Linked DNA regions of Arabidopsis thaliana. The protein of the gene in region 1 interacts with the protein of each later gene in a pairwise test. Each region holds a gene or a part of one and is shown on either strand. Other genes may lie near its edges.

What was found.
Region 2: the proteins of BON3 (region 1) and BIR1 interact in a two-hybrid assay, tested with the Arabidopsis thaliana proteins (one study listed by BioGRID).

The regions. Positions count from the first base shown.
Region 1 is NC_003070.9:2,834,690-2,851,092, forward strand, and holds BON3 (Calcium-dependent phospholipid-binding Copine family protein), read left to right. Parts: upstream 1-7,279; 5' UTR 7,280-7,463; coding exon 7,464-7,628; intron 7,629-8,315; coding exon 8,316-8,363; intron 8,364-8,489; coding exon 8,490-8,638; intron 8,639-8,722; coding exon 8,723-8,771; intron 8,772-8,867; coding exon 8,868-8,924; intron 8,925-9,056; coding exon 9,057-9,236; intron 9,237-9,330; coding exon 9,331-9,465; intron 9,466-9,545; coding exon 9,546-9,607; intron 9,608-9,687; coding exon 9,688-9,784; intron 9,785-9,866; coding exon 9,867-9,981; intron 9,982-10,063; coding exon 10,064-10,140; intron 10,141-10,379; coding exon 10,380-10,517; intron 10,518-10,670; coding exon 10,671-10,835; intron 10,836-10,949; coding exon 10,950-11,063; intron 11,064-11,152; coding exon 11,153-11,249; intron 11,250-11,342; coding exon 11,343-11,449; 3' UTR 11,450-11,661; downstream 11,662-16,403. Other genes in the region: emb2411 (DNA replication helicase), read right to left, coding at 1-105, 238-303, 683-765, 1,050-1,146, 1,259-1,369, 1,469-1,601, 1,907-1,968, 2,034-2,087 and 5 more; AT1G08845 (Ribosomal L18p/L5e family protein), read left to right, coding at 4,100-4,126, 4,523-4,615, 5,151-5,282, 5,814-6,266; H2AXA (Histone superfamily protein), read right to left, coding at 12,455-12,676, 12,781-12,987; AT1G08890 (Major facilitator superfamily protein), read left to right, coding at 13,685-13,816, 14,048-14,110, 14,222-14,311, 14,441-14,500, 14,599-14,664, 14,771-14,836, 14,921-14,996, 15,107-15,171 and 6 more. UniProt on the Arabidopsis thaliana protein: Negative regulator of cell death and defense responses. Repress a number of R genes and may have effects in promoting growth and development. May function in membrane trafficking and in fusion of vesicles with plasma membrane.
Region 2 is NC_003076.8:19,599,563-19,614,518, reverse strand, and holds BIR1 (BAK1-interacting receptor-like kinase 1), read left to right. Parts: upstream 1-7,371; 5' UTR 7,372-7,771; intron 7,772-7,900; 5' UTR 7,901-7,986; coding exon 7,987-8,826; intron 8,827-8,912; coding exon 8,913-9,935; 3' UTR 9,936-10,430; downstream 10,431-14,956. Other genes in the region: AtSPO22 (Tetratricopeptide repeat (TPR)-like superfamily protein), read right to left, coding at 1-476, 610-642, 732-921, 1,096-2,441; AT5G48385 (FRIGIDA-like protein), read right to left, coding at 2,807-3,247, 3,590-3,762, 3,986-5,048; TGG3 (thioglucoside glucosidase 3), read left to right, coding at 10,636-10,783, 10,907-10,963, 11,072-11,133, 11,222-11,297, 11,395-11,545, 11,640-11,767, 11,820-11,893, 11,980-12,095 and 4 more; AT5G48370 (Thioesterase/thiol ester dehydrase-isomerase superfamily protein), read left to right, coding at 14,007-14,360, 14,553-14,730, 14,826-14,956.

The DNA.
Region 1 (16,403 bases):
ATTCACTGTGTTCATGTCAGATTCAACTATCACTCTGACCGAAGCATCGATCATCCCTTTGAGACCATATTTAGGGGCCCATGACATCTCCTCAATATCAATTACCTGAGGTAAGCAATTTGTTTATATACATAATAGAAGTCTCATTGGAGGAGATTGCTTAATAAACAACGATTATTCTGCAATGATGTCAAATGAAATCCCAAGAAGAAGGGAGAGAGTAGGAAGAGCTCTAACCTCTGATACCTTAACAGCTTTCTTCCCAATGGTAGAACCAAAATCAACTTTTGATACTTCTGAGTCCTGTTTATAAACAACATGCCACGAATTAAGATGTTTCTGCCCATAGAGTTGCTAGAAAGGGGACTGACACAGTAAAATAAATATAAAGTGACTGCTAATACAAGCATCTTAATGTACTTTGTAATTGGATATCTGTAGGTGAAAGGCAGCATAACAGATAATATGAAAGTATGTGATTACCAAACAAGCACATTCACGAGAAAACAAGTCCAACACACATTAGAGCATAATGCAGTCTAATATGTACGTGCAACACTACAAAAATATCTGACGATTCCAACCAGAAGAGTAGCCAAAACAATTACGTTCAAGGGAAACAATGATATAACAGCCATTAGTAACTAAAGAAAGAATCATAAATAGGAAAATACAAGTGTACCTTCGAATATCTGAAATGCTCAATCCAATTCAACATTTTCGGGATAGCTTTAAATAAAGTTGATCTCACGTCTCCTTCATGCACTGTAGAGAACATATGATCAAATAAGAAAATGATTAAGTGTATTTCATTGGGTCAACTCGTAGCATTTTGGTATTAAAAGCAAAACAAAATTCTGAAGTAATGTGAATCTTAAAAGCACATAGAACAAACAGGTATCATATCTATTTCAATTTAAAATTCTAATATTAATAAGAGGTGTCCTAGCTATATTAACTCAAAATTCTGATATGAATAGGAGGTATCCTAGCTATATGATAACTGCATGAACCTTCAAATAATAGGAACACATAATGTAGTAATCAACCTCCGCATGCATATAAGCTCTCAATACTTTTCTCAATCACTGTGCTTGCATATTCTTGCAAACCATCTACAGATGGAGATTCTTGCGAGAGACCAGCCTGGAAAACAAAGGAAATGGATAGCACAGATCAGTACATTGCAAAAAAATCAAACAAAAACACTCATTTTCCAATAGAATTCTCATCAAAAAGATTCCATAATGTAGTAAACCTGAAAAACTTGGTGTTGCAAGGTTCCAAGTAAGGCTACTGTAGCGTGTTCATTGGATCTGAGCCTCTCATCTAGCACGGTTCGCCTTGGGCAACCAAAACTTGCAGCAACCTGAAAGGTAGAACAGTTATTCACAACAACAACTAAATTAAGTGCAAAGAAGATTGGTAGTTGTAGACAGAGTCCTTAAAGGGAAGACGAAAATAATACCCTAGTTCCGGCAACAAGGGTATCAGGATGAACAATTAAGAAATTGTTTTGACGGTCCACGTCACACTTGCCATCCCCATCAAACTCTCCAATAACATTGATTGAATCTCCTGGTGATACAGTGCTGTAAAACCTGGTAACAATAAGCCTTCAGTGTTCCGAAATCAAGTTTCAACCAACTGGGAAATGAATGGATGATATATAAATGTCCCATATGCTAAGAGAATAGAAAGATAAACAACAAGAAAATGTGTAGTATGCAATCAGCCGACATTTGGAAACTAATAATGGCAAAAACATTCAAGACCAAGACATTAAAGAACAAGGTGTAATAGCTTCATCAAAAATAGAATGGAAAAGTAACGACCACTTGCTATTTTTGAAAAAATTTGATCTGAAAAGCAGAGATCACCCTAAATTTCATACAAAATAAAGTACCATTCATCCCAGAGATACAAAGCGCATTCCACTCCTGTGTGCTCATCTAGCAAGCGAAGAACCTGAGAGAAATTTAGTCAGCAAATATGAGCATGTACAAGAGAAAATCTATGAGTAAATGACGAACCTTATAAGGACATTGACCCTTAGATGAGCTACCCGAGCCACGTTTCTCCGATACCTGTAGTTACAACTCTGGACAATGAGTAACTTTTACATGAAAACCACATTGCTACCCCCCAAGTTCGATTAAGGCCAACTTTACCTCCAATACAAGGAAATAGCTATCTGGATTTATGGAATTCTGCATTTTTGGTAGAGAAACTGGCCCTTCATCTACAGCGCAATCAACAACAGAAGAGATGATATCATCTTTAACTCGAGCTTGAGGCATCACAATCCCCACATCATCAGTTGTTTTGTCATCAACTGCGATGACATCCTCCACTTGATCTAATAGTTCAAGCAAGGCCTACAAAAAGAGGCAATATGCTGAAATAATAATTTGAAACGCTGTAGAAAACAAGTTCTAGAGGAAATAATGCATGTAGTCTTGATCAACCACAGGTGGAAGTGACAAAACATTTTACATAATACTCTAAATACGCCTTTCATAAGCATCTAAAAGACTGCATCAAGTCTCAAATCATACCTTTTTATGTTGTCCAGCCCCCATAGATCCACAAGCTCCGCTGCACGTTACAGTACAAGGAAGCTGAACATAAACAGAGCAAAGTTAAGAAGTAGATAAAATGTGCTCATAAATCTGTTTATCAGGAAAGTAATTTACCTTGTTGTGAGGGCATGAAAGAGACGGTGGGGTCTGGAAAGGACTGTTTCCACTACTTGAAGTGTTAACAATTTCAAACTCTGCATCTGGGGAAGGATTTACCCTTTCCATGACCCTATTTGTTGCAAAAGCTGGTCTTTTGGAAGCTTTTTTTGAGGGTGAAGATAACCATTGCTCAACCTTGGAAGTTATACCTGATGTAGGACATTGCTTCTGCACTAGCTGCTGTCAGTTTCGATGTGAAGAAGGGAAATGAAACAGCTACCGAACCAAGAATTAGTTTTAAAAGAAAATTTAAAGCCGTAAACATGCCTTATTCAGAGAGCAAGGGCGAATGGTAGAAGATTTAACCCCTAGTGAATTTTCTGTTAAGTCCATCATCTTAGGAATGTTCTTAGCAGCTGCCCGAAGTCTTTCATTTACTGGAGAGATTTTCCAAGTTATCTCACCACCACAGTCATCTTGACTTTGCTTTATCAGCTATGAACATAAAAGAAGCATGTAAGAATTATACGACCACAAGGGACTCAATCATGTGAGCAGATATTATAGGGTAATTGCAATTACATCAACCAGCAATTAAGGAGAAAAACATACCCATTCAAACTATTAAATTAGAATATAAGGGAATATAAGAAAAGAAACTACCATTCCAGGAGAGAAGCGCTTCAGGTTTTTGGAGATCTTAGGAGATGCCTCCGTGAGTTGCTGGTCCATATCTTTGGACTCATCAGGTTTCTCATTCGATGTGCCTAGAGGGTTTTGAGGCGTTAAAACTGCAGTGTCAGAGGCAAGACCATTCACATTCTGTTGATCAACTGGGTCAGCAGTGGAGGTATGAGAGTTGGAAGTTGATTGGGAGTTCTGAATATGTCGAAGGAACAACTGCTGGATGCCAAAGGTGGAAGGTTGTGACGAATGATTAGCTGAAGATTGTTTGTTTGATTTCAAAGCTGAAGACTTGGGCTTCTTTCTTGGTGGCATTTCCAATGGCTAATACTTGGCACCCTGAAATTTTGATGGAGCTGATAAACTTCGTGCATATTAACTTTGCCTTGAAACTTCGAAACTTCATATAATCTTCATTGTAATTTTGTATAACGGATTCTTATATATCTTAATCTGAAATTCAAAAGAACAAAGCATAAAAGTAAAATACCTTTCTCAGGATCACGCTGTGAGAATCAACAACAAGTCCTGAAAGTAGTTGACGAAGAATCCCCGGAAATTCCAGTAAATTCCAAAATTAATGGAGCTTCCACAAACCTAGACTCAGCAGAAGCTTCCATAAACGAACTTCGCTACCTCTGAAAATCGCAGACAAAGTTGAGAATTCAGAAGGAACGAAATGGAAATGAAAATCAGATTCCGAAAACTAACCAGGCACGGCGAAGTAGAAAGCAATGGCGACGGCGACGGCGACGGTGACGGTGAGTGAGGCAGTGAGAGAGTCGTGAGGTGAAGGTTCGGTTCCTCTGAAAATCAATTTAATTCAACCCCGCCCGCGTCTTTATTCTTCTTAAACCGGAAACGGTCCGGTTCAACCAGCTAAGTCGGTCAAGATTCCAAATTAATGTCCTTAACCCGGTGTGAAAACCATAATAAAACCGGTGACCCTTGGGTGTTAATAGTTGAATTAGCTTTTTATGGGGAGAAAATGAAAAACGAGTAACTTTCCGAGGACGGAAGACCAAATTTTGCGTTTGTAGGGTTTTAGAAAATCTTCATCTTCAATGTTTGGAGCTCCGAAGAACAATTGCCCGTTTCAACCTTGGCAGCCATTGCGAAGCACCTAACCTATTTCGTTTACTGAATCTTAATTTTAGTTTCTTCTATCTCCGTGGGTGGGTTTTCAGCTTTCTTTGAGTGTAGTATCCTCTGCAATATCAACCCGTCGTGCTCTAGCCATCGATTTCCAGGTGCGTTAGTGTATTTTTATTTCAAATTGAGCTTCCAGATACAGAATCCATGGCATTTGAATTGAAGACGAGTCAAATTTTCTATAAAAGAAGTGAATTTTGTTATGATCACATCGTGGGGTGTGTTCTTCAAATGATTTAAGGTCATCATATTCGTTAATCTTTTCAATACTTTTCATTTCCATAGCTTACGAGCTGCTAATTTGATATCATGTTGGCAATTAGAAATTATAAATTCTTGGCACAAGCTTTTAGCTGCTCTCTATCTTTTGGATTGTTATTGAGAGAAGTCAACTTGTTTGCCTCTCTATTGCTTATTACAAATGGTTTCGTTTTCTGGGCAATAAGAAGTCTTCAATATGTTGGGATGCAGTAATGGAATGGACACTAAAAGAAAGCATACTTTTGTGACAAAGCTACTATCCTTATTGACTAGTGACCTCCGGTTTAATTTAGTTTTAGCAGTTAGCTATATCATAGAACATAGAACGTCTTTATGAGCACTATTATTCCTAGTGACTGAATTTTTCTGTAGGTGGTTGCAGATATAATGTTGAAGCAAGTGGTTGCCAAGTATTCTATAGGTAAAGCGGCGATTTATGGAAGTAACAGAGAAAAGCTTAGACCTTTCATGTGCCAAACCAGTTGTCGATTCCACAATGGACGGGTACACTCCACCGTTCTTCCACTTTGTTTACTTGACTGAATAGTTTGATTTTTAGTAGAATTAGTAGAGGAAGCGTATTCTTTTGAATCAGGTCTTGTGCAGTTCCTTGTGACTCCTGTTTGATTGAAATCTCATAACTAGATCTGCTTGGAAACGATGTTGAATGTGATTTATCCGACGTTAGACCACTCCCTTTAGCTTTAGTTGCTGTTTGCTAGAAAGAGGTTAGATGAATTGTATGAGCAGAACCCAAATTAGTTAAACGGTGAGTTAGATAAATTGTAGCTCATTAAAGTAATTGACTGGATTGTTCCACCTCTCAATGGTTTGTTGGTGTTTGATAGTGCCAATACTTTTAGTCTGGCCATTTAGATGAGTCAGTATGCAATAGCTGGATTTTATAAGATTTACTGAGCCTACTTTGCAATCATTAAGTTCAGCTCTGTTCTAAGTATTGAGTCTTTTCAGCTATCGTTTCTTGGTCTTTTTGTATCTGTTTCTATTTTGACTTGGCTTTACCATTCTTGACAGACTGTTTTTGCACCAAGAAGCTTCTTTGGTGTAGAAGACTACGTGGATGACGACACAAGCCGGCCATACACATACCAAAAAGAGAAAAAGTCGAAGAATCCAGACAAGCATGTGTCGTTCAAGCAACGAACAGTTGCATACATGGAGCCGTTCACTCTAGATGTCTTCATCTCAAAGCGCTTTGTTTCGGCATCTCTCACGCACCGTGTTACATGTAGGCAAGTTGCTGTTGCGGGAACAAACTCTAAAGACGTAAAAGCTGTTCTGAGGTCAAGATGTGATATCCCGGCATGTATGTCCATAGGGAGGATCTTGTCTGAGCGTGCAAAAGAAGCTGATGTGTACACGGCTTCTTATACGCCAAGGGACCAAGACAAGTTTGAAGGGAAAATCAGAGCTGTTGTCCAGTCCCTTATTGATAACGGAATTGATGTTAAAATTTATCTCGATTAGAAAACAAATGTTTGTTGTGTCCGTGCTGAAATTAGTGTTTGATTTCGATTTTCCTAGCAAACCTTATTGATTCAGCGAGAGACAAACTAAATCCAACAATTCATGGGGAAAAAACAAAACATATGACAAACTATTTTGAAACTGAAATCCCAAGCAAGTCACTGCTCATTACTTTTCAATTACTTTTCAAATCTCTTTTAGGCTTAATATTTGTTGTAGGCTATTTAGACTTCCTTGGAATTTTTTGGGAACTCACTGCATAACTCAGAGAAAATGCCACCTCTAGTTGAATTAGTCTCTTATATAACACTTTTATGTTGGCGGCAGAAAAGTGCAAGATAGGAACAACATTTTTGAATTTTCACACGTGTATAACGACCATCCAATGTAGAAGAACAACAAACAAGACTCGAGTCAAAATAAATAGAAACAAAAAAAAAACACGAGATACACAATGTCATAAACAAAACATAAGTATGATAATCATATCAAATTAAGAAAAATAGATTTTAATTTCTATAATTAACATAATAATCTAAATCAAATATCTAAAAAAAACTAAAAAGATAGAGTTGAAAAGCTAAACTCTAAACCCAAAATTGTAAAACACTACCTAATCCTTAATACTTAAATTATTAACCGTAAGTTAATATTCAAACAATATCTAGTCTAATTAAAATTTTGGAATTATTAGCTTCATTTTTAATTATTCTAATTATATTCCTAGCACAAACAACCTCGCGCGAAAAGGAAATTTATGAGAGAATAGGAGAAGGAAAATTCGCAGAAACGAGAAAACTTTTAGGTTGAATTGAAAGTTGAAACCTTTTTTTCTAGTTAAAGTGTTAAATGATCGAAAGACGTTTCCTTTAAATTCGAAAACCAAAACGCGTTTTGATATCCAAACAAAGGATTCAACCAACCGTTTCGATTTCTTGGAAGGTCGAACCAATTTCCTGAGAAAATCTTCTTTGCTTTTTTAAATCAAAAAACTTCAGATTTTCCAGTTCTATTTTTCTTTTACGCGTATCCCTTTTCAATATACATATATATATACAGAGCTAGAGAAGTTGCAGAATCCTGTGTTAATCATATTACAATCTGCATTGTGAAATTTTGCGAATTCATCTAGGGTTTGATCTGACTCCAAATTTGGGATTTTTAGGGTTTAAATCTAGAGATAGAGAGAGAGAGAGAATGGGAGGTTGTTTATCTGGAGATGTGAAAGGAGGCAAACAAGCCATTGGAGGGGTCCAGCAGAGACCCACTTCCTCAACCATCGCCAACAATGCGGCTCACAACGACGCCGTCGATTTTTTCTTCAGATCTCGTGGTCAATATCCTCTCTTTTCTCAAATCGAGGTACTAAAGTCAGGTGTTTTTTATGTTTGTTTAGCTCCTCTAGTATATGATGTGGTCACATTTGGATTAGTCAACCAAGTTAACAATTTGTGAATTGAATATTGCTTAAACACTAGATTATTGCTTTTGTTTAAGGATCCTTGTTCTCCTTTTTTTTATCCATACTGGATAAGATATTCCCTCTTGTTTTGTACTTTTCTAATGGAGCTAGCCCATTGACCCTCTGTTCAGTCTTTGTCCATGTTTTTTCTCTCTCTTTTGCGTGCGTGGGGTTATAGTTTATTGAATTGAATCTTCTTATGTGGGGTATAAAGTGTGTTTTCTTAATTAATATCTTTAGCTTATTGTTTGGTTTCTGAGAAAGTAGGCCAGGCTATGCAATGAAAACTATAACTTAAAGTAAATTGCAATGAAACATAACCCTATAATACTATACTACTACTCTGCAACTTCTCCCTCAGTGCAACCATTTAATATTTGCACTATTTGATACGAAAAGAAAAAGGAACTTTTCCTTAAGATTTGTTATTGTGACTTAAGGATGGCTTAAAGTTTTCGCTTTCTTTTGCTTGTTGCTTTTGAGTTTACACTCTTTCTTTAGGATTTTCATTATCATGAAATATCATAAACTTTTTTCACAGGTTTACCTTTAAGTTGTGTTTAACATTGTGCAATTGTGTTTTGCAGTTAACTTTGTCGGCTTCAAACTTGTTGGACTGTGACATAACGTCTAAGGTATTCCTAGAATTGAATCATCTCTAATATTACTACTAGATTAAACTTTTTGGACATGGTCGTATGAGATTTAAAGCCATTTACTTTAGTTACATGTGAAGCTGATGAGTTTTCGATTTATTGTAGAGTGATCCGATGGCTGTCATGTATTTGAGGAAAAAGGATGGGAGACTTGAGGAAATTGGCCGTACTGAAGTCATACTTAACAACTTGAATCCTAAGTGGATTGAGAAGATAACAGTCTCTTTTCAGTTTGAAGCTGTCCAGACATTAGTGTATGCAACTGTTAACTATTCTTTTCTGATAAATTGCACATGTTGAACTCATGTTTAAACTTGTATGAATCTTTTTCTTTTCAGTTTTCACGTGTATGATGTTGATACCAGATATCATAATGTGCCAGTGAAGGTAATATTTTCATTGATAGTAACATCAAGAAGTTTGCATATCGATAATAAATGCTACACATCAAAAGTGGTTTCAATATACTGTATAACTTTGCAGACATTAAAGCTAAAGGATCAGGATTTCTTGGGAGAAGGCACATGTGTTCTGTCCGAGGTAAATTTATTCAGTAATCAGACACTGCTACTTGTGATGGCTTCATTGTTGTTTGGCCATTAGTCAGTGTTACTGCTCTTTGTGTACGACATATCTAATACTTACAATTTACATTCCTCTTTCAATCACCAGATTATGACAAGACAAAACCGGACACTGACATTAACTCTTACTGGCAACGTTAGAGCTGGTGTGAATAGAAATTTGGGAACACTCTCTATCCAAGCTGAAGAAACAGTTGCTTCTAAAACTGTCGCTGAGATTAATTTTCGCTGTGTCAATTTGGATAACAAGGACTTGTTCTCTAAGAGTGTACGTACAAACTTATGCATTCTTGTCCTTCTAGGTAACAATATTATGATTTCTTGCAGAAGCTTTAACTTGTTATCTTATTTTCTCTTTCTAGGATCCTTTCTTAAGAATATCAAGAGTTGTTGAGACAAGTGCTGCAGTCCCAATTTGTCGGACTGAGGTCGTGGACAACAACCTCAACCCCATGTGGAGGCCTGTGTGCTTGACTATGCAACAATTTGGAAGCAAAGTAAGCTAGTTGTTTCACTGTAATTCAATGTATACATTTGAAATAATCATTATGTTAAATTGATTGTTTTGTTTATGCAGGACACCCCATTGGTTATCGAGTGCTTAGATTTTAACACCAGTGGGAATCATGAACTTATTGGGTAACATGTTAACCTTTAACATTCTACCGGGTCTCACCATTTTTGATTTTTGTTACTGACAATTATACTGAACCTTGCAGAAAGACAGAGAAATCTGTAGCAGAATTGGAGAGACTTTGTCTCCAGAAAGAGGCTGCAAACTTTGTCTATCCATCTCTAAGTCACGGTAGAAACAAGGTGCCTAGTCGTACCACTTGATTGAAATCTTAATACAGTTATTTTCATCTATTTTCGTTAAGATTTTATTGGGTTTCTGTAGGTTCTGAAAGGCCAGCTCATTGTGGATCGTTATGTGGAGAAAGTCCAGTACAGTTTTCTTGATTACATATCCAGTGGCTTTGAACTTAATTTCATGGTTGCAGTTGACTTCACTGGTGATTCACCTTCTTCTACTTCATATATATCTTATCTTTACTTAGAAACCTTGATCATTAAGATTGATGGTCTGTCTTTCAGCTTCAAATGGCGATCCCCGAACTCCAAGTTCTTTGCACTACATTGATCCATCAGGCAGATTAAACTCATATCAACAGGTACTATTGTTACCCCTTCGTTTCTTTTGTTTGTGATCTGTATCCTCAATACCAATACATTGCTTGGACTAGAATGGTTAGTTCTCTCACAGCGGCTAATGAAATAGCATAGATTTGGCCATTTAACTATATGCTTATTCTCAGTATAAAACCATCGTCTCATTAATTTTTCTTTCAGTGTCGTGATTCCCTTGATCTATTGTATGTATAAACATAATTTGGCTTCTGTTTTTTTCCAGGCTATTATGGAAGTAGGAGAGGTCATCCAGTTTTATGATTCTGATAAGCGGTTTCCTGCCTGGGGGTTTGGAGGAAGAACATCGGATGGTTCTGTGTCCCATGCTTTTAACTTGAATGGAGCATCATATGGCGACGAGGTAACTTACGAGACAGAAACTGTTATCTCCCTTTATTATTGGAGCTGATATTGTGTGCATACTGGTGTCCATTATTTGAAAACCATGAAACATTGCATTCTCAAAACTGCATGTTAAGTTTCACATTGCTTCATATTCTCTTTTCGTTTTCAGGTTGTTGGAGTTGAAGGAATCATGGTAGCTTATGCGAGTGCTCTTCGCAATGTTTCTCTAGCAGGACCAACTCTATTTAGCAATGTGGTCGACAAGGCTGCTCATACTGCTTCACAGTCACTCTCACAAAACAGTCCCAAGTACTTTGTTCTGCTCATCATTACGGTAAGAGACTGAACATTCAGATACGTAATGACTTTGGCCCAGTTCAGATCGAATGTGCATCTGTTACTAGTAAATCTATAGCTTCAATGACAAAAAAAATGGATGTGTGAACAGGATGGAGTCCTTACAGACATGGCGGGTACAGTAGATGCATTAGTGAGAGCTTCTGATCTCCCGTTGTCAGTTCTTATCGTCGGTGTGGGAAACACAGACTTCAAACAAATGGAGGTACAAGTTTTGTTTTGTCAAGTTAGGTTTTATATCTGTCTCTTTGCAAATAGTAAACATGCAGTGACTTGACCTTGTAAATATTTCAGATGCTTGATGCTGATAATGGTCGGCGGTTAGAGAGTTCTACTGGTCGAATAGCTACACGGGACATCGTTCAATTTGTCCCTATGAAAGACATCCATAGTGAGTTTTAAATTCCTTATGTACAACGGATAGTGTAAAGTGTTTAGATGCGTTTTGGATTGGTAGTAAATGTTTAATTTGGTGGGGTTGCAGGTGGACTAGTGTCGGTGGTGCAGGCACTTCTAGAAGAACTTCCCGGCCAGTTTCTGACCTATGTCCGTTCGAGAAAGATTAATCCGATCGGAGCTCCAGCAATTTGAGTTCAGCAGCATAGTCTAGTCTCTGTTTTTTCTTGCATAGAATTATTTTGGTGTCACCTTATTACCATAGTTATCATCATGTTCTCAATTTACTTAGGTTGGATTTAAACCGTAAGGTTTGTTAGAAAGAAAGAAACAAAAAACAGAACAGAATTTGCGAAATGTATATATATTTTAGCTTGTTTGCATCACAATAACATGATATAAACCACTGACGGTCTGACGCATCAAAGTAGATACGTTGGTAATATATGAAAATGTTAAATTATTTGCCGTCTTTCAGATAGACGCTGTTGAGCTTTGCATTATTAACGAAGGAAAACAAAAAAAAACATGGGATTCTCAATTGACACATGATTTCAAAATTAGGCAATTAATATTTTTGGAAAAATTAGATTGGAGATGCGGGGGATCGAACCCCGTGCCTCTCGCATGCAAAGCGAGCGCTCTACCATTTGAGCTACATCCCCATTTTGTTAAGTGTTCTGCGCTTATCTTTATTATAACAATTTTCAAGAACTCGATTCTTGGTAAGCAAAAAAAACTGCAGATGAAGGTAATTTAGCGAGCTAATTCAGGTGCGAACCAACAGATGAGGGTAACTTAGTGAAGTTAATTCAGGATTACCATGACTGAGGCAGTTAGGCCCAAAACCTAATGAGTTTTACTCCCTGGGTGAATTAAAAAATGAGTCTGGTTAAATTGAAACATGATCAAAGCAATGTTTAGTATTAGGCTCCATGAGTTGCATGTATCTGCAATAAAGAATCAAGTATGCATAGTTTGTGTTTCAAAATGTTTCTGGGTTGATATATCGATTAATTCAGTTCCATTGATACATGATTCGTTCCGAAATATCATATCATTCACTAATTAAACATACTTAGGCAAAAGCCAAATATACTTAGCTTTAAAACCTAATTTGATCCCCAAAAAACACCATCAGGGTCTATTTTACAAGTTCCGAATCCAAACAAGAGAACTGAACTAAGAAGTCTAAGAACCTCAGAACTCCTGAGAAGCAGATCCAATATCTCCTTTGTTCTTGCCAACCTTGGATGGCAAAAGAGTCTGATGAATATTTGGCAAAACTCCTCCATTCGCAATCGTCACACTTCCCAGAAGTTTGCTTAACTCTTCATCGTTCCTCACTGCAAGCTGAATGTGTCTTGGTACTATACGTGTCTTCTTGTTATCCCTTGCTGCGTTTCCCGCCAGCTCCAACACCTATCAACCCAAACCAAATCAAAATCAAATCAGTACAAGATCCAATTCAGATGTGACCAAATCGAAATTGAAAACCAAATTGGAAGACAAGAAAAATAAATTACCTCGGCGGCGAGGTACTCGAGAACAGCGGAGAGATAGACCGGAGCTCCGGCACCGACACGCTCGGCGTATTTACCGGATTTGAGGAATCTAGCGATTCTTCCGACGGGGAATTGAAGACCGGCTTTAGATGATCGAGAGACGGATTTGGTGGCCTTTGGCTTTCCTCTGCCACCTTTGGTTGTTCCGCTTCCTGCGCCTGTACTCATCGTCTTCTTCGAAATTTAGAACAGATAAACGATTTGATGAGAGTTTGAAGAAATCGAAGAGAAATGACTATTGTAGATGATCTGGGAATTGAGAAGATGAGTGGGCTTTAGGGTTTTGCTCTTCTCTATATGTATAGGCTACTAAGATTGATTGTGATTTGTTAGACTTTAGATCACACGGATTGCCAACGTGGCAGATCATCTACCCTTTCAATTATTATGTGATCTATGGTTCGTACATCTCCTTTTACTTTTTGAAAATAATGTACAAACGAAAAGTGATTTTAGTGAAATAGTCCTCCATTATTAAGCTTTCTATAATTTTAGACCCTGAATCTTGATCTGTTACAAGTTCATATTTTTAATTTACATCAATACATTTATTGTGGATTGATCATCCCAATGTATTGATGGTTATTTAAAAGATGGCCAGGGTTGATCGATTCGGTTTCATATGATTTTAGTTCTATGATGTAACCTTTATTGATCAAGCAACAAGAATAAATCAATAATTTATACGATAGCCGACATAAAGAGATTTCTATTATCTTACTATATATAGTCAACAAATATCTATAACAGTTGTTCACATGGGACACGACCAATGAGTCACTGCCAAATACAAGCTTCAAGAGTGAAGACTATTAAAGAACAGAGAAATACAGGGAAAAGCAATTAGGAGAAGGAACAAAAGAAGATGGAATCTGGAAGTATGAAAACACCTCTGGTGAATAATCAAGAAGAAGCAAGAAGCTCTTCTTCCATCACTTGTGGTCTTCTTCTTAGTACCTCCGTCGCTGTCACTGGCTCTTTCGTTTATGGCTGCGCTGTGAGATTTCATCATCACTCTTTCCTTTTCTTTCATTTGGTTTTCTAGTGTTCCTCATGGATCTCAACTAACATGCCTCAGATTGGAATTTTTATTTTTTTAATCAAAATCTGTTTTGAATTTGGTAATTGTTCAATAGCTGTTTTGTCTCAAAATTGTTATTTGAATATTATGTGATTTTGAGTTGATGTCAACTTGTGGCCTAATTTTGTGCACTATCATAATTTGAAGATGTCATATTCATCGCCTGCTCAGTCCAAAATCATGGAAGAACTGGGACTTTCCGTTGCAGATGTAAGTCATCCATGTGTGTGACCAAATCAATAACTAATTTTATTTTTTACATCGATAATCAATTATTACTCCTAATTTACTAAAATAATGGTCTATTTATATTTTGGCCAGTATTCGTTTTTCACATCGGTAATGACATTGGGAGGAATGATTACGGCCGCGTTTAGTGGAAAAATTGCTGCAGTTATTGGTCGTCGACAGGTAATTAAATTTTGTTTCGTATTCAAATGTTATTATGCCACTGTTTTTTTTTTTTTGTTTTTGATATTGTAGGACCTTCTAAGATGACGTAATATACACGTTATGATTTGTTCATCTCTTTGATCGCAGACAATGTGGATCGCGGATGTTTTCTGCATCTTTGGTTGGCTCGCTGTAGCCTTTGCACATGTTTGTTTCTCCAAATCTCCATCTTTTAAATTTATTTTTCACAAGTTTAGTATTTTTTAATAAAGTTAACATTTCATTTGCTGTGGTTTATTTTCAAGGATAAAATGCTGTTAAATATTGGTCGAGGCTTCTTGGGGTTTGGGGTTGGTCTCATTAGTTATGTGGTAATTAACTTTATCATCTGTTTTGAAAACAAATTATTTGTTACTTTTATAAAGTGTTGATATAGTAATTTCGTTTTACACCATTTGATTTGATCAAAACAAATAGGTTCCTGTATATATAGCAGAAATTACGCCCAAAGCATTTCGTGGAGGATTCTCTTTTTCCAATCAAGTAAGAATGAAACAAATTATATCAAACAGCTTATAATTTCAGAATATTTAATTTATTATTGTTATCTTGCGTTTGAACTTGCAGCTTCTACAAAGTTTTGGGATATCGCTCATGTTCTTCACCGGAAACTTTTTTCATTGGAGAACATTAGCTCTTTTAAGTAACTATATTTTTTCTCTAAATGAACTATATCTCAAATCATAAAAAATTATAATGTGTGTACTTAATTCACATTATTTAACTTATTCTTGATTTTCAATCTATGACTAGGTGCAATCCCATGTGGTATCCAAATGATATGTTTATTTTTTATTCCTGAATCACCTAGATGGCTGGTAATTCACACACTTAAAGTTTGTTTTTTATTTGTTTAATTGGTAATATTATATTTAAAAGGTACAGTCTACATATTAATGTTCATCTTAGGCTATGTATGGTAGAGAACGAGAGCTTGAGGTTACTTTGAAGAGGCTAAGAGGAGAAAATGGTGATATTCTCGAAGAAGCAGCTGAAATCAGAGTATTATTGTTTGTTCCGAAAATACTACTACTACTTTGGCTAACATATACGTATTTTGGTTAACTATTAATTCGGTTTAAAATGTGAAACAGGAAACAGTGGAAACCTCTAGAAGAGAATCTCGAAGTGGACTAAAAGATTTGTTCAATATGAAAAACGCACATCCGTTAATCGTAAGTCTCATCAAATACCTATCATTTATACAAATAATTTAGAAGAGATCGAGTTCTTATCTAGTTTTGTGACCTATTGATGATCAACTTAATAAACAGATAGACATGTATTTATGCGTATGTAGATCTAACATTCTGCCTATACGTATGAATGAAATACTCCCAAGTCCTAACGGAAAAAAATGTTTTAACTTGTTTAGTGAAATAAATAAAGATTAATTTGTTTTTGTTTGTTTATTAATTCGTTGAAAACGATTAGATTGGATTGGGCCTAATGCTCTTGCAACAATTTTGTGGGAGTTCGGCGATAAGTGCTTATGCTGCTCGTATTTTCGACACAGCCGGTAAACCATGATTTAAAAAAAAAAAAAAAAAAAAAAATCATTGGCATGTCATATCTTGTTTGATTTTGTATCGCATTTCATCTCACGATTTTTGAATATATTGTCTTGGGTATTTAGGTTTTCCAAGCGACATAGGAACATCCATCCTTGCAGTTATTTTGGTAAATCAAAACATTGTCTTTTTAGTATTTAACATTTTATAATCGAAAATATAGTATTTCACATTTTCACTACAACTTATTCTTGTTTTTAGGTACCGCAATCTATTATTGTCATGTTTGCCGTCGACCGATGTGGACGCCGACCACTTTTGATGGTAATCATTTCATTACCTTCGTTATATATAATTTGCGTAATTGATTTCCCTAGATAAATATTTTATTTGTGGTTTGAAACTTTTTTTGCAGAGCTCTTCTATCGGTCTGTGCATATGTTCATTTTTAATTGGCCTCTCTTACTATCTTCAGGTTTAGTCATCTTAACTATTTTATTCTTTGTAACTTCGTTTGATTTTTGGTTATTATAGACTAA
Region 2 (14,956 bases), on another chromosome or scaffold:
TCAGTATCTATATAGCCATAAAATTCAGATGCCAGCCTCAAGAATTCACCACAGAGCTCATACTTCTTTTCCTTCCCACACCTTGACCCAAGATTCCAGCAAGTCGCAGCAAACCAATTCTGTTCTCGCTTTCCAGTCTCTCCTAATCCAAAGAAACACTCTGTCCCAAGCTTAGAAGCCCTGCTCTGAGCTTGCAACATAAAGTTAAGAGCTTCGGTTTCGCTGCCAATGTCTTGAGTCAATATAGTGACTAAGGTACGGAAGACCACAACCTCTGTGGTTGGCATTTTTTTTCCTGAGATATAGAAACTGAGAAACTTGGAAAGAGAAGCAACAGCAACTGGAAGCGCTTGGCAAGAAATAGCTTCATGCGCTGAAAGGGAAAGATAATCTGGAGAAAAATCAAGGCAGGACGTCATTGCATCGATCTGACCAATGGCACAACTGTGTTCCTTCTTTTGCAGGTAGATCTTGAACTGCAAGAATCAGAAGCAAAGAGAAGTTGCTGAAACAATTTTTCTCAAACAATCTCCAGATACATATATATGGCGAGGTAGCCGAAGGCCATATGTTGAATAAGCATGTACTGTGGGGGAAAAGACAGTCTACCTTAAGAAAGGAGCAAGCAATATTGGGCTCAAGCTGCAGAGACAGAAAACTAGTTAGCAATTCTGAGTTGAAAGATCCAACTAGGACCGTTGAAAATAGAAGTTCCATGGATAAATGTATACCTTTTCAGCTTCTTCTATGTATTCAAGAGCTCGATCCAGCTGAGAGAGCCCAAGGTAGCAAAGACACAAAACCCTGAAGCCTTTGGCCCTGAAAACTCTATTTTCTATATCATGTGGAATATAGAGCATTGATTTCTCAAACATCTCTGCACTTGTCTCATAATCTTTAGCACGGAAATGATCTGAAGCACTGTAAACAGCAGAAAATACCCAGATTAGATCCCCAAGACATACACTCAAGAAAACAACAACAAAACCTATCAATCACTGTAACCAAGCTGAATCACTCAGTTAACTAAGATGCAATAAATATGACACACCAATGTTAACCAAGGGAGATGAAAGTTCAATGGCAAAAACATACCTGTTCCAGAGAACAGAATGTATTGCCTTCCTCTCCTTAGTCACAGCTTCACTAGCAAAGAGAGCAACAACTCTCTCATCTGACACGAGCTGAGCCACAACGTTCGCCCTAATTCTCGAACCATTATCACCTCCCCTACTCTCACCAAGCACCCGATGAGCCACTCTAAGTGCCGCCTTTGCACTGACATGACACCTTCCCAGCAGACCTAAGAACACACCCTTTGCAGTTTCTGCTCCAGCAGTCCCAACCACCTCAAAATATGCTTCCACAGCAGATACCCACACTGCCTCTGGAATATCATTGTTTCCCACCATACCTCTCAGCTCCTTCTCTGCCTCACTATGCCTCCCAAGTCCTAACCAAGCCTTCATCGCCAACACAGGTAATGAAGCATGTTGATCAGCTCCATCACTACCATTTCCTCCATTCCTTAGAACTTTCACACATTTTATCACATTCTCGAACTCTCCCTTCTGCAAATGCACTGCTGATATGAAACGCAGAGTTTTGATTCTCATGGCCGTGAACTCCGTAGTATCTTCCCGAGTTTTTGCTGTACCTAATCCCTTCTCACAAAGATCCAACGCTTCATTCATTAACCTAAGAGCGTCGTTTAGACTGCAATCGTCGTCACCTCTAGACAAAGAGCTTTTACCAAACGCAAGGAATTGATTTGAGAGCGATTTGTAGTGATCCGGTGAACCAAACAACAAATTCTTCGCCCGATTAAGCAACGTTACAGCTAAATTCCTATCAGAAATTTCCCAGGCAGTTCGAGATCTAGCTAGGTTTAGATCCAGAAACAATTTCTTTTCTCCGGCATCGGAAATTTTCGCGATATCAATTTTCGAGACGATTTCGGTGGCTCTCTCGAAGCAATCGGAGGCGAGATCGAATTTCTTGAGACTGTGATAAACAAGACCGGTCTTATAGTAGAATAGAGAGGACTTAATCGTCGGAGATGGAACACCGGTAACGTCCTTAGCGAGAAAAAGCATATCGGCGGCAACATGTCTGAGATTCGCAATGTTCTCGGCGGAGGTTAAAGAGGATTGGAGAGAGGCGGCGTTAGCGAGATCAACACAAGCATTCCAGAGGCGAAAGCTGAGTTTCCATATGGTAAGCTTGAAGGAGTTATCGGGAAAAGGAGCAAGTTGACTCAGCCGAGTTAGGAATTGTCTAAGAGAAATAGGGAGAGATTGAGGTAGCGGCTGATCTTTGGAAATGGCTTCAGATTGTTGGATTAAGAGCTCGATCTCGGAGAGAAGAGGATGGTGAGTGTGTGAATCGGTTTCCCGGTGATGTAACCGGAGGTCCGGCGTGGTGATCTCGGCGATTCTCATTTCGATTGTTGGCGGGAGATTTCAGAGAGAGAATTGGGAATTTCGAAGGACCGAGTCTGAGAGAATAAGATATTTTCGAAATTCAAATTAGGGTTAGTATTGTAATTTACACCTCCTGTGTAGGTTAAGGAAAAATAATAAAATACAACATTAAAGATATAATAATTAATAAGAAAATCTGAGTATTTTTTTGTTTTTTGTTTTGAGTAGGGTTGATCCTTAAAAATACTAAAACCATCCGTACACAACAACAACATCAAAGGGAAAGAGAACTAAGGAGAGGAGTTAAAAAAGAGCTGCCACAAGTTAACACCAAAGGGGAGTCACAGTCACAGTCACATTTTACCATTCACCTTTTTTTATCACTAGTGAAAGTAAGGAGGAGGAGGAGGAGCCTGGTACTGATAGCAGTTCGCGTAGAAGTTCCCATGTGCAGGAGCAGGATTGAACGTGTAAGTCTGAGGAGGAGGAGGTGGTGGAGGTTGTGCTGCCATGATTGGACCGCTAAGGAACGGTCTGTTGTCATAGACATACTGCGGATACCTTTCAGGGATGACTCTACCGTATCCTGTCTTGTTGTTGTTGATGTTGTTGTTGTTGTCAGTGACTCGGGGTTGAGCACCACGTGGTCGTTTTGGCTGAGGTTTCATGGGTTCTGTTGCTCTCTTTTTGTCCGCTTTGGCTTTCTCGAGCTGGAGAATCCGTTTGTGAAGTGGCTCAACTGGGTACTGCTCTTCCAGGCTATGCTCTTCGATACACTTTATAACGGTTTTGAGGCCTATAAGCTCCCGCTCATTGAACTCATCCTGCATTGGTACACACATAATAATGTACAACAATATGAGACTGATCCTGCATCAGCAAGTACTATGATATACGCCTAAAGTAATTGATAATGAAAGCATCGGTTTTCAGTTTCAAATGGTGTTAGAAGTCTGGAGTAAAATATGACAGCTAACTGAACAGAGCTCAGGAATGTTCCAGCGAGGTAAGATTTACTTTTTCAAATAGCCAGATGCTCGAGAAAAGGTAACGAGTTCAATAAAAGATAAGATCACTCGTTCTAGGCAAAATGCATTAATATAGCCCTTCATTTTCACCAACAAGGTAATCTATAACTGCAAGTTATCAAGTCAGGGAACACTTGCCTGAACAGCAGGAGATGCATTGCCAGGTCTGCCTTGGGGGGAAGATCGCCTTGCCTCTATCAAGTAAGATTTCAGTAATGAGACAGGTGAGAACTGTTCTGTGAGTTCAAACGCAAATGCCAAGTTAACCGCATCAATCTGTTTTCCACTGTTCACGAGAACTTCAATCACACCTGGAATAAAAGGAGCAGTGCACATTAAAGATAAGATCAAGGGATAAGGTAGAGAATCTGGGTGTAAACTAAACAAGGAAAAACACAGATATCCACCATGTTTAGGCCCTTGACCAGAGACCCTATCACTCACTAAATAGTTACTATCAAACATCAACTTTCCTATCGAAATGTCATAACCTGTAAGATAATCAGCCATATACTAAAAGTTAAGAGAACAAACCAGGCATTTTTTCAGCTAATCCAAGTGAACGGCAGAGCTCAGCTGCCTGACGGCGACGTGAAACCATGGGGATCAGCTTTAAGAGTTCATCTTCTTTAAAATCAGCAACAATAGCAAAAGTGGCCAGCAGTTGCAGGAATGCATGAGCCTCCAAAGAATTACCATTGCAAGCATCCATGTCAAGAGATTCCAGCAGTGGATTCCATCCTTCTGCAATAGTTTTGGCTCTATGCTTAACATTTTGTGAGAGAACAACAGCAAGGCAGTTGCGGTCCAGACCAGATAACAGTATGCTAAGGCACTCCATCAACATGATACAGGTTCTGCGCATGCCCAAGAGGTTAGCGTCTTTTTTTCCATCAGCAGTTGGTGCCTCCATAGGGTAAAACCCTTCCAAAGAGTCCAACACTAAGCTGGCTGGGTTTGCTGCAGCCCTGAACGCCATAGGAATCTCCTCCTTTAGTGATGCAAGGTTCTTGCGGTTATCTGATACAAACTTATGGAGACCCGTTGAGTCCATATCCCCGCACAGTTTCAGTAACTGTGGATAAGCCTTCACCTCATAATTTCCCATCACAGGTGAGATCTGAACATCTTGCACAATACCATCCGGATTATCATCGGTAATACTATCAGCAGCAAAGACATTGGATGAATCCTCTACAGCATTTTGTGGCCAACGTTCACCAACAGAAGGTTTACTGACAGGAGCGTTGTTATACTTATCCAAAGCACTGTTTATAGTAAACATAGCTGCGTCTCTCTTCTTCTGAAGCCTTTCAAGCGCCGCCTTCTCCTTAGCCTCAACAGCTGCCTTCTTTTTCTCCAACAGTTCTTGAGCTTTCCTTGTTTTGGTTTCATACTCTTTTTCTTGATCTTCAAGCTCATGAAACCTTCTCTTCAAAGACCTCTCAAGCCCATGAAAATGCTCCTCAAGTTCCTTCCACTTCAGATTAAGTGTTACAGCACGCTGACTTTCAAGTTCAGCAAACGCCTTCTGAAGCTGCTGAATCTTGGATGATGTAGAGTCCATGAGTGAAGCAACTGACCGAGTATCCTCCATCACAAAAGAGCCTAAATAAAACGGAAATTTAAGTAATGATTAAAAAGTCCCGAACAAATAAAAACAAACATGAGTACAACGACATTAGAGGCCAGACACAATATTGTTACCAATTCAAACAAGTCCAATCTCCAAGCTGCGAATAGAGAGCTCCACGAAATCTCGATCCTTGAACAACAAACAACTACAAAAAAAAAAATCATCAAGAACAGATAAACAAAGATCAGTCAAAACTATCCAATGACAATATCACTCGTTAAAGATAAAAACAAATTAGCTCTGTAACAAGACCGTACAAGTCATAGTGGACAACTATGTAAGAAAATGGCCTACAAGGCAAGTAAAGACAAATGAACAAGAAACCCCCAAAAAAATGAATCCATTCAAGAAAAATTCACACTATTTTTTAGTCACAAAGATAATTCAACCTCAAGAACTAATCAGACGTACTTATAAAAAAATTAGCTGAAATAATACAAATACAGATTAAGAGAAGAGTAGATGACGAAATGAGAGTAGAAACAAGCAAGCTGATTCAGTGATTCTATGAAATCCCAGCTTAATCCATCACATAAACAAACTTCACGACCAAAATTCAAGGTCATAGCAGAAATTTTGAGCTATATTGTGGAGAAATCAACAAACCCTAGCTACAGTGAAGAGAACACGAACATGAACTCAAAACAAAAAAAAAGTATATACCTCAAGAGAAGATAAAAAAAAAGCAACTTTACCAGGAAAATCAAACGAAGTAAAAACCCGTAAGAAGAAGAGATCAAAAAACTTCAAGAAGGACCACATGATCGTAGATCCATGGTGAAGAGCGATCGAGAGAAATCGAGGTTAGGCAGAGAGAGAGAGAGAGAGAAGAGGAAAGTGAAATCCCTAAAAAGGAAAGAGGAAAGTAGAAGAGAGGCAAAATAAAAGGAAGCAAAGCGATTTATAACAGACACTTTATTAAGCACACCCAATTTTACTTAGTTGGCACGTGAGAGAGACTGGTGTGGTTTAATGGCTCGTTCTTCACTATCATATCTGGTTCGGACCAGACAGCTTATGTGGCTCTAGTCAAACCCTTTAAAGTTTGCGTCACGTGAGTTTGTCTGAAACTGCCGGGAACTTGTAATTTACTCTTTCCTCCTTTTTTTCTATTAATTGGTATATTCACCATCTATGTGTATCAATCACTCTTTAAATTCCTTAACTTTTTTTACCAAACACCCAATCTTTTTAACCTGTTGACGAAGCTTTGGCTTCATGCTTAAGGCTATGTTATAATGGGGAAAAAACTAGATTGCACAATCTTTCATAGACTGATATTCTTCATCGGATGTTTCGATCATATAAATTGTCTCCAAGGATGAAACTATGTGTCTAATTTTTTTGAATGCAAAATTTATATATGATTGTTTTCTTAATAAGAGCAACAATGAAAATATAGTTTGGTTATACATTGGTATTTGTCAAAGAGGAAAGACTAAACCAAGAGTAAATAAATCTTACAACTTCCCAAATTGTTGGAATTCTACAATTGTATTATATATGGTGAATGATTTGGTACAAAACATTACAAATATCAAATGAATTTCGAAGTTGGTTCAGGTCACGAATGGCGGATTTGGCTTGGGAGAGACTAGAGGTTGTGATTCGTGGTTTATCTCCTCTCTAAAATCGTTATGTTACAAACTGACTATCAAGGATAATCATATCAATCAAGATAATGAAGAGAATCAATATCGTCAATCACGTTAATTGCTCATAATCATTGTATACAATATTAAGTTTCCTTCAGTAGCTTTCTAGTCTTTGTATATAAACACTCTGTAATCATCTTGTTTCATATATTCGATATACTCTTAGTCTACATGGTATTAGAGTCTCTGTATATAAACACTCTGTAAAATTTCTAAAATCGTTATGTTACAAACTGACAATACATAAACAACACGAATTAACATTTTGGGGTGTTTGCTGAACCGTGGTTGGCGGGTACATCTGCTAAATGAACAAGCTTTTTATATATATATATATATATATAACTGTCAACCCATAATTTAAAGATTCCAACAACAACAAAATAAGTACTACTCCTAATAAGTATTTAAATATGTGACATGATATTCAATTTTTGTGATACAAATTATTATGCATTGGTATTTGTCAAAAACTAATACCAAGAAAACATTTCTTGTAAATGTCATATTCCATTCTTTGATTTGGTCAAAACACCAAAACCATTTACAAAATATCCAGAATTATCTAAAAACGAATGAAAAGCGAAAAATACCAAATGGAAGAAAAATTTGTCCATCTCCTAACAAACAAGATAATATATATGATGATGTTGAAAAGTCAAAAAGAGAAGAAAGAAAAAAAAAACATTTAACGCGCAAAGACCGATTTGGTTTTTGTTGGGAGTCATTGCGTTCTCATCATCAGTGTCTCTCTTTTCTTTGCCCCATTCTTCACGAACTTTCACTAGACGACGACGACGATCCAAAGTCCCAGTCAACTCACTCACAAAGACGACTCCTTTATTAAATTATTCCCAACTCCTTTCTTCATCATCATCATCATCATCATTCATAACCACTTAGCCACAGATGCGATTTTCTTCTCCTTCTTCATTGTGCTCTTCAACACTTATGAACAAGAGCACCACCACCACGACAACGACGACTACAAAGACCAAAGCTTTCGTTTTGTGTTTCTGATTTTGATTCGTAAGTTGTTGTAAATTTTTCTAAGTCAACTTCAATTTTAAAGATCGCTTTAGTCTTTTTGATTCGCTGGCGATAATCCAATTTTCGTTGTTGCTAATAAAGTTTTGATTTTTTTTTATTTGCTTACAGGATTTTGATGCTCATCGAAGAGAACCCTTGATTTTGTTGCTGTAGTTCATAGAGATTTTACACATTTTGTGGAATTTAGTGGATTTATGATGATGGGTAGGTTAGTTTTTGTAATCTGGCTCTATAATTGTCTCTGTTTGCTGCTACTCTCGAGCTTGGTTGACGCGGATCAGGCCAACATAGATTGCTTAAGGACCTTTAAATCTCAAGTAGAGGATCCAAATAGATATTTATCGACTTGGGTTTTTGGCAACGAGACTGCTGGTTATATCTGCAAGTTCAGTGGTGTGACTTGTTGGCATGATGATGAGAATAGGGTTTTGAGTATTAAGCTATCTGGTTATGGTCTTAGAGGAGTGTTTCCTCCTGCGGTTAAGCTATGTGCTGATCTCACTGGTTTAGATCTTTCTAGAAACAACTTCTCTGGACCTTTACCAGCCAACATTAGCACCTTGATTCCACTTGTTACGATTCTAGACCTCTCCTACAATAGCTTCTCTGGTGAAATCCCTATGTTGATCTCCAACATTACCTTTTTGAACACTCTTATGCTTCAGCATAACCAGTTCACGGGTACTCTTCCTCCCCAGCTAGCGCAACTTGGACGGCTCAAAACATTCTCTGTGTCTGACAATCGTCTCGTTGGTCCTATCCCAAATTTCAACCAAACCTTGCAGTTTAAGCAGGAATTGTTTGCTAATAACCTGGATCTGTGTGGTAAGCCTCTAGATGACTGTAAGAGTGCTTCTAGCTCTCGTGGTAAAGTTGTTATTATAGCGGCAGTTGGTGGACTGACTGCAGCAGCATTAGTCGTTGGGGTTGTTTTGTTCTTCTATTTCCGTAAATTGGGTGCTGTTCGGAAGAAGCAGGATGATCCTGAAGGAAACAGATGGGCAAAGAGCTTGAAAGGACAGAAAGGTGTTAAGGTAAAAACATCATTGATTTGAATTTTGCTGTATGTGGTTATGTTCTAAATTTATGATATATGTTTGGTGCTTTTGTGAATGTTCAGGTTTTCATGTTTAAGAAATCGGTTTCAAAGATGAAATTAAGCGATCTTATGAAGGCAACAGAGGAATTCAAGAAAGATAATATCATTGCAACAGGAAGAACAGGAACTATGTACAAAGGTAGGCTTGAAGACGGGTCTCTACTTATGATAAAGAGGTTGCAGGATTCTCAACGCTCTGAGAAAGAGTTTGATGCAGAGATGAAGACTTTGGGCTCTGTTAAAAACAGAAACTTAGTCCCTCTCTTGGGCTATTGTGTTGCCAATAAGGAGAGGCTTCTAATGTATGAGTACATGGCAAACGGTTACCTTTATGATCAGTTACATCCTGCAGATGAAGAATCCTTCAAGCCCTTGGATTGGCCTTCAAGGCTGAAAATCGCGATTGGGACGGCAAAAGGATTGGCATGGCTTCATCATAGCTGCAACCCGAGAATCATCCATCGCAACATAAGCTCGAAATGCATATTGTTGACTGCAGAGTTTGAGCCAAAGATCTCGGATTTCGGTCTAGCTAGGCTGATGAACCCAATTGATACCCATTTAAGCACATTCGTCAATGGAGAATTTGGGGATTTCGGTTATGTTGCTCCCGAGTATTCAAGAACCATGGTTGCAACTCCAAAAGGAGATGTCTACAGCTTCGGTGTTGTGCTTCTAGAGCTAGTAACGGGCCAAAAAGCAACGAGTGTAACAAAAGTATCTGAAGAAAAAGCTGAGGAAGAAAACTTCAAGGGTAACCTCGTGGAATGGATTACAAAGCTATCAAGTGAATCAAAACTGCAGGAAGCAATCGACAGGTCCTTACTTGGGAACGGTGTGGATGATGAAATCTTCAAAGTACTCAAAGTAGCATGCAACTGCGTTCTACCGGAAATAGCAAAGCAGAGGCCAACCATGTTTGAAGTTTATCAGCTTCTAAGAGCCATTGGAGAGAGCTACAACTTCACCGCCGATGATGATATCTTAATCCCATCTGAATCAGGTGAAGGCGATTTCATTGAAGAGCTCATAGTTGCTCGTTGATCAAGAGGAAGGGTAAGAATTGTGAAACAAACATCTCTAGTCGTAGCAGTCCAAAGATATATATAATGTATAAGTATTGTTTTTATTTTATTTTTGGGTTCTCGTCGTCGATGGTGTGTTGTAATATGATATATTGTTAGATGCACTCTCTTATTACTATGTACTAAGCTTTGGGTGTGTGGTACAGTCACTGTTTTGGTTTTGCCACTACGTCTTTGCTGCCTTATATTTTGCAGCACTAATTTGGTTGAGGAGAATACAGTCATCACGTGGGATATCTTTGAAGACTAACTATGTGCTCGATTTGGACCCACTGACTATGGAGATTTCAACGAAACTCTGTCCGAAATTGGACAAACCACAAATATATTGCAATGACGAATGATTGGGTCAAGAATACCAAATTCAAAATAACTAGACTTAGTCAATTCTTGGTTTTCTTTTTTTTTTGCTTAATTCTCGTCGACAATAATAGAAGAATTAACAAGTGTTCTTACATCACCTTTTCACTTCCAATTTTATAGGAATCCATGATTCCATTTCGTTAGCTCCTTGATGTAAAATTTCTATTTAAGGACACCAAAACAAATATACAAAGCAAAGATTAAATTTTCTACAAAAACTTCTTCTTTTAAAGTTTAATTGAGACCGCATTAGGTTTCCATGCAGCTGAATGAAAACATACATGTACCGATTAACCATGAAGTTTCGTGCACTCGGCTTAGTTCTTCTATTAGCAGTGGAGACTTGCAAAGCTGAAGAGATTACGTGCGAAGAGACCAAGCCATTCACATGTAACCAAACTGATCGTTTCAACAGAAAACATTTCGATGATGACTTCATCTTCGGTGTTGCATCTTCTGCTTACCAGGCATGCAACAGATCACATATTCTCCCAATTTTGACGTAAAAAACAATTCACTAACACTAAATTCCAACGTTGCATGGTTGTTTTGTTTCACTTCAGATAGAAGGTGGAAAAGGCCGTGGCCTTAACGTTTGGGATGGCTTCACTCACCGATATCCAGGTTTGTCGTTTGCATGGTTGATATATAAAGGCTTACATATTTATACGAGAGAAGTGTCGGTACGTTATCTCTCTATACATTCATAGTAATGTCTTTGTACGCTACCAGAGAAAGGAGGACCCGATTTAGGGAATGGAGACAGCACTTGTGGATCATATGAGCACTGGCAGGTTAATACGTGTGGAATTACTGAATTTAGTCACTGAATTTTTATCAACTACGTGTGGAATTTACATGTGATTATTTGTATTACTACAGAAAGATATAGACGTAATGACCGAACTCGGGGTTGACGGCTATAGATTCTCGCTTGCTTGGTCAAGAATCGCTCCAAGTATGTACACATTAATCCATGCATGTATATATGAATATATATTGTTTGTCGTAAAAATAAATCTACGATCTATATGAGCAGGAGGAAAGGTGAAGAGGGGAATCAAACCAAGCAGGTGTTAAGTACTATAACGATCTCATAGATGGCCTCCTAGCAAAGAATATAACTCCTTTTGTTACCCTCTTCCATTGGGACCTTCCTCAAGTTCTGCAAGATGAATATGAAGGTTTCTTGAACCATGAGATCATGTATGTTATCGATGCCATGCTACTTCTTAATAAATATGACAACATATAAAAGATTTGATCTCGCATTAACGAAATGATTCTATAATATGAGCAGAGACGATTTCAAAGATTACGCGAATCTATGTTTCAAGATATTCGGTGATAGGGTTAAGAAGTGGATCACGATCAACCAACTCTATACCGTTCCTACTAGAGGTTATGCAATGGGAACAGATGCACCGGGTCGATGTTCTTATTGGCTTAATAAAGATTGTTACGCCGGAGATTCTGGAAGAACCTTATATCGTTGCACATAACCAGCTTCTTGCTCATGCCAAAGTCGTCCATCTTTACCGGAAAAAATATAAGGTGAGTTCTCTGGTTGAAAAAGATATAATCTGACATCTGATTCTAGATAATTTTATATATATATATGCAATGCTTCCTCACAACAGCCAAAACAAAGAGGACAGATTGGAGTTGTGATGATTACTAGATGGTTTGTTCCATATGATAGCACTCAAGCCAACATAGATGCGACTGAGAGGAACAAAGAATTCTTCTTGGGATGGTATATCTCTCAATATATCCAAAAATAAATAATAGATGTACATTTATAGAAACTTATTAAGGCATGTGTATAAAATAGGTTCATGGAGCCACTAACAAAAGGTAAATACCCTGATATCATGAGAAAACTTGTGGGTCGACGCCTTCCAAAGTTCAATAAGAAAGAAGCCAAACTTGTAAAGGGTTCATATGATTTTCTTGGTATCAACTACTACCAAACTCAGTATGTCTATGCCATTCCCGCAAATCCTCCGAATAGACTCACCGTCCTGAATGACTCGCTCTCAGCATTCTCATGTACATCTATATCTATATTGCTATTTAGTTACAACTTTTCTTTACAAATACTATCTTCTTAATTTGTTTACAATATTTTGTGACCATCCCATTACTTTATCTTTGTGTTTACAGATGAAAATAAAGATGGTCCCATAGGTCCATGGGTATGCATGCATGATCCATCCCTATATTTCATTATTTTTAAGAAAAAGATAACATACATAAATATACTTGGGATTTATCTATGTTTCCCTTTCTCAGTTCAATGCAGATAGTTATTACCATCCAAGAGGAATTTTAAACGTGTTGGAGCACTTCAAAACTAAATACGGAAACCCATTAGTCTATATCACTGAGAACGGTGAGTTACTTATCCTTGTAATTATATTTTTTTTCTCTTTATGCATGTTTAGTTAATTTATTTCTAAATCGGTCCAAGAAATCGACTCATTTGTGTAACTGGTAACGATGGTCTAACTAGGATATAGTAGCCCCGGTGGTGACACACCCGCCCTTGATGTTATAGCTGATTCCAACAGGACTGATTATATATGCAGTCATCTCTGTTTTCTCCGTTAGGCCATCAAGTGAGTGGATTCTACTCGTCTTCCTATCTTCTTCTACTTAATTTTTATATATATGTATATGGATGTATGATCAACAAGAAAATTGTCTCTAATGATTGTTCCTGTTTTTAGGGAGTCTGGTTGCAATGTGAAAGGATACTTTGCTTGGTGTCTTGGGGATAATTATGAATTATGGCCATCAAGATCATTTCATGTCTCCCCTTTCTACTTGCTCCATAGAAAGGACAAAGGAGCGTTCCCTTCATTCGAAGCATAATTCATCTAGTGACTGACGATTTGAGTTATATATTCATCCTTATTGTTCGTTTGGACCTCTTTGTTGATGTTTAACGAGTTATGATATAAGAAAAGGGAGGAAATTATTGCCATGCTTAAGGCCTAGAGCACTGAATCTCGACACTTTTTAATTTATGTTTTAAGTTTTAACCATTCTGTTGTAGACTTTGTTGCGACATAGCCGTCTCCAATAAATTAGTTTGGAGACTCACATTCAGATTCAAACAACCGATGTCTAAACGTTCTGATGAATCCCTATGATCTTAGGCATCATATCTTGATTATCCAATGTCGTAGCTTAGGGCATCCAAGAATGTTGGTCGACCAACACCAATGAATTATGAACCATCGTATCTCCATGTTCTTTACAGTCTCTTTCCCTAAGATTGAATATCTTCTTGTGCTAGGTAAGGCTCCAATACCATTTGTAAGTGTAGAAGAAACACACAATAACATAATTTTAACAAGCTTAATCAACATGCATACGTTCTCAAATTTTATTGAAATTGTTGATTGTAAAATTAGAAAAAAAGACAAAGAAAATAAAGAATGTTTGATGAGAATCAGACAGAGTGCTCTTTAAGCTAACCTTGTAAAAAAAAAAACACTAAAGCAAATGTCAAAAAAAGAAACAATCTAAAAAAACTCCAAAGTCAAAGGAACTAAAAATCAAACAATGTCCTTCCTTTGAATGATTCACCATCTTCTCTTTCACCTTCCCCCATTTTCAAAAACCCAGAAACAAAGCTTCTCACTTTCTTCACCCAACCATGAATTCCCCAAGACCCATCTCCGTCGTCTCCACCTTCGCTTCACCATCCTCCACCTCTGACCCAACCCGAAAACCCTTAAGCTTATGGCCAGGTATGTACCATTCACCTGTCACCACCGCTCTTTGGGAAGCCAGATCCAAAATCTTCGAATCTCTTCTCGATCCTCCTAAAGACGCTCCACCACAGAGCCAGCTTCTCACCAGAACTCCTTCTCATAGCCGTACCACCATTTTCTACCCTTTCTCCACTGATTTCATTCTCAGAGAGCAATACAGAGATCCTTGGAACGAGGTCCGTATCGGGATCTTGCTCGAAGATCTCGATGCTTTAGCCGGCACTATCTCCGTCAAGGTATCTTCATTTGCCAAATTGAGTGATAAAGTTTGATCCTTTTTTAGGATACTGTGAATCTCTGTCCTCTGACTATGGTTGTATTATAGGTTTTAGTGATCTTATTGTGTATTTGATTTTCTGACTATGTTTCTAGTATAGGTTTTAGTGATCTTATTGTGTATTTGAATGTGTCTGTACATTGTGATACAGCATTGTTCTGATGATGATAGTACAACGAGGCCACTCTTGCTTGTTACAGCTTCTGTTCATAAGATTGTCTTAAAGAAGCCGATTTGTGTCGACATTGATCTCAAGATTGTTGCTTCTGTCATTTGGGTTGGTCGTTCATCTATCGAGATTCAACTCGAAGTTATGCAATCCGAATTGAGTATGTGTATAGTCGTCTACTAATTCAACTTACAAGCATGTATCTTGAAACTAGAAATTAAAAGACTTCTGTTTTGTTGTTGTTGTTGTTTTCAGAAGATGTCAAGGCTTCTTCAGATTCTGTTGCTTTAACTGCAAATTTCATTTTTGTGGCGCGTGATTCTAAGACTGGTAAAGCTGCTCCTATCAACCGTCTTTCTCCTGAAACCGAGGTTGAGAAACTTCTC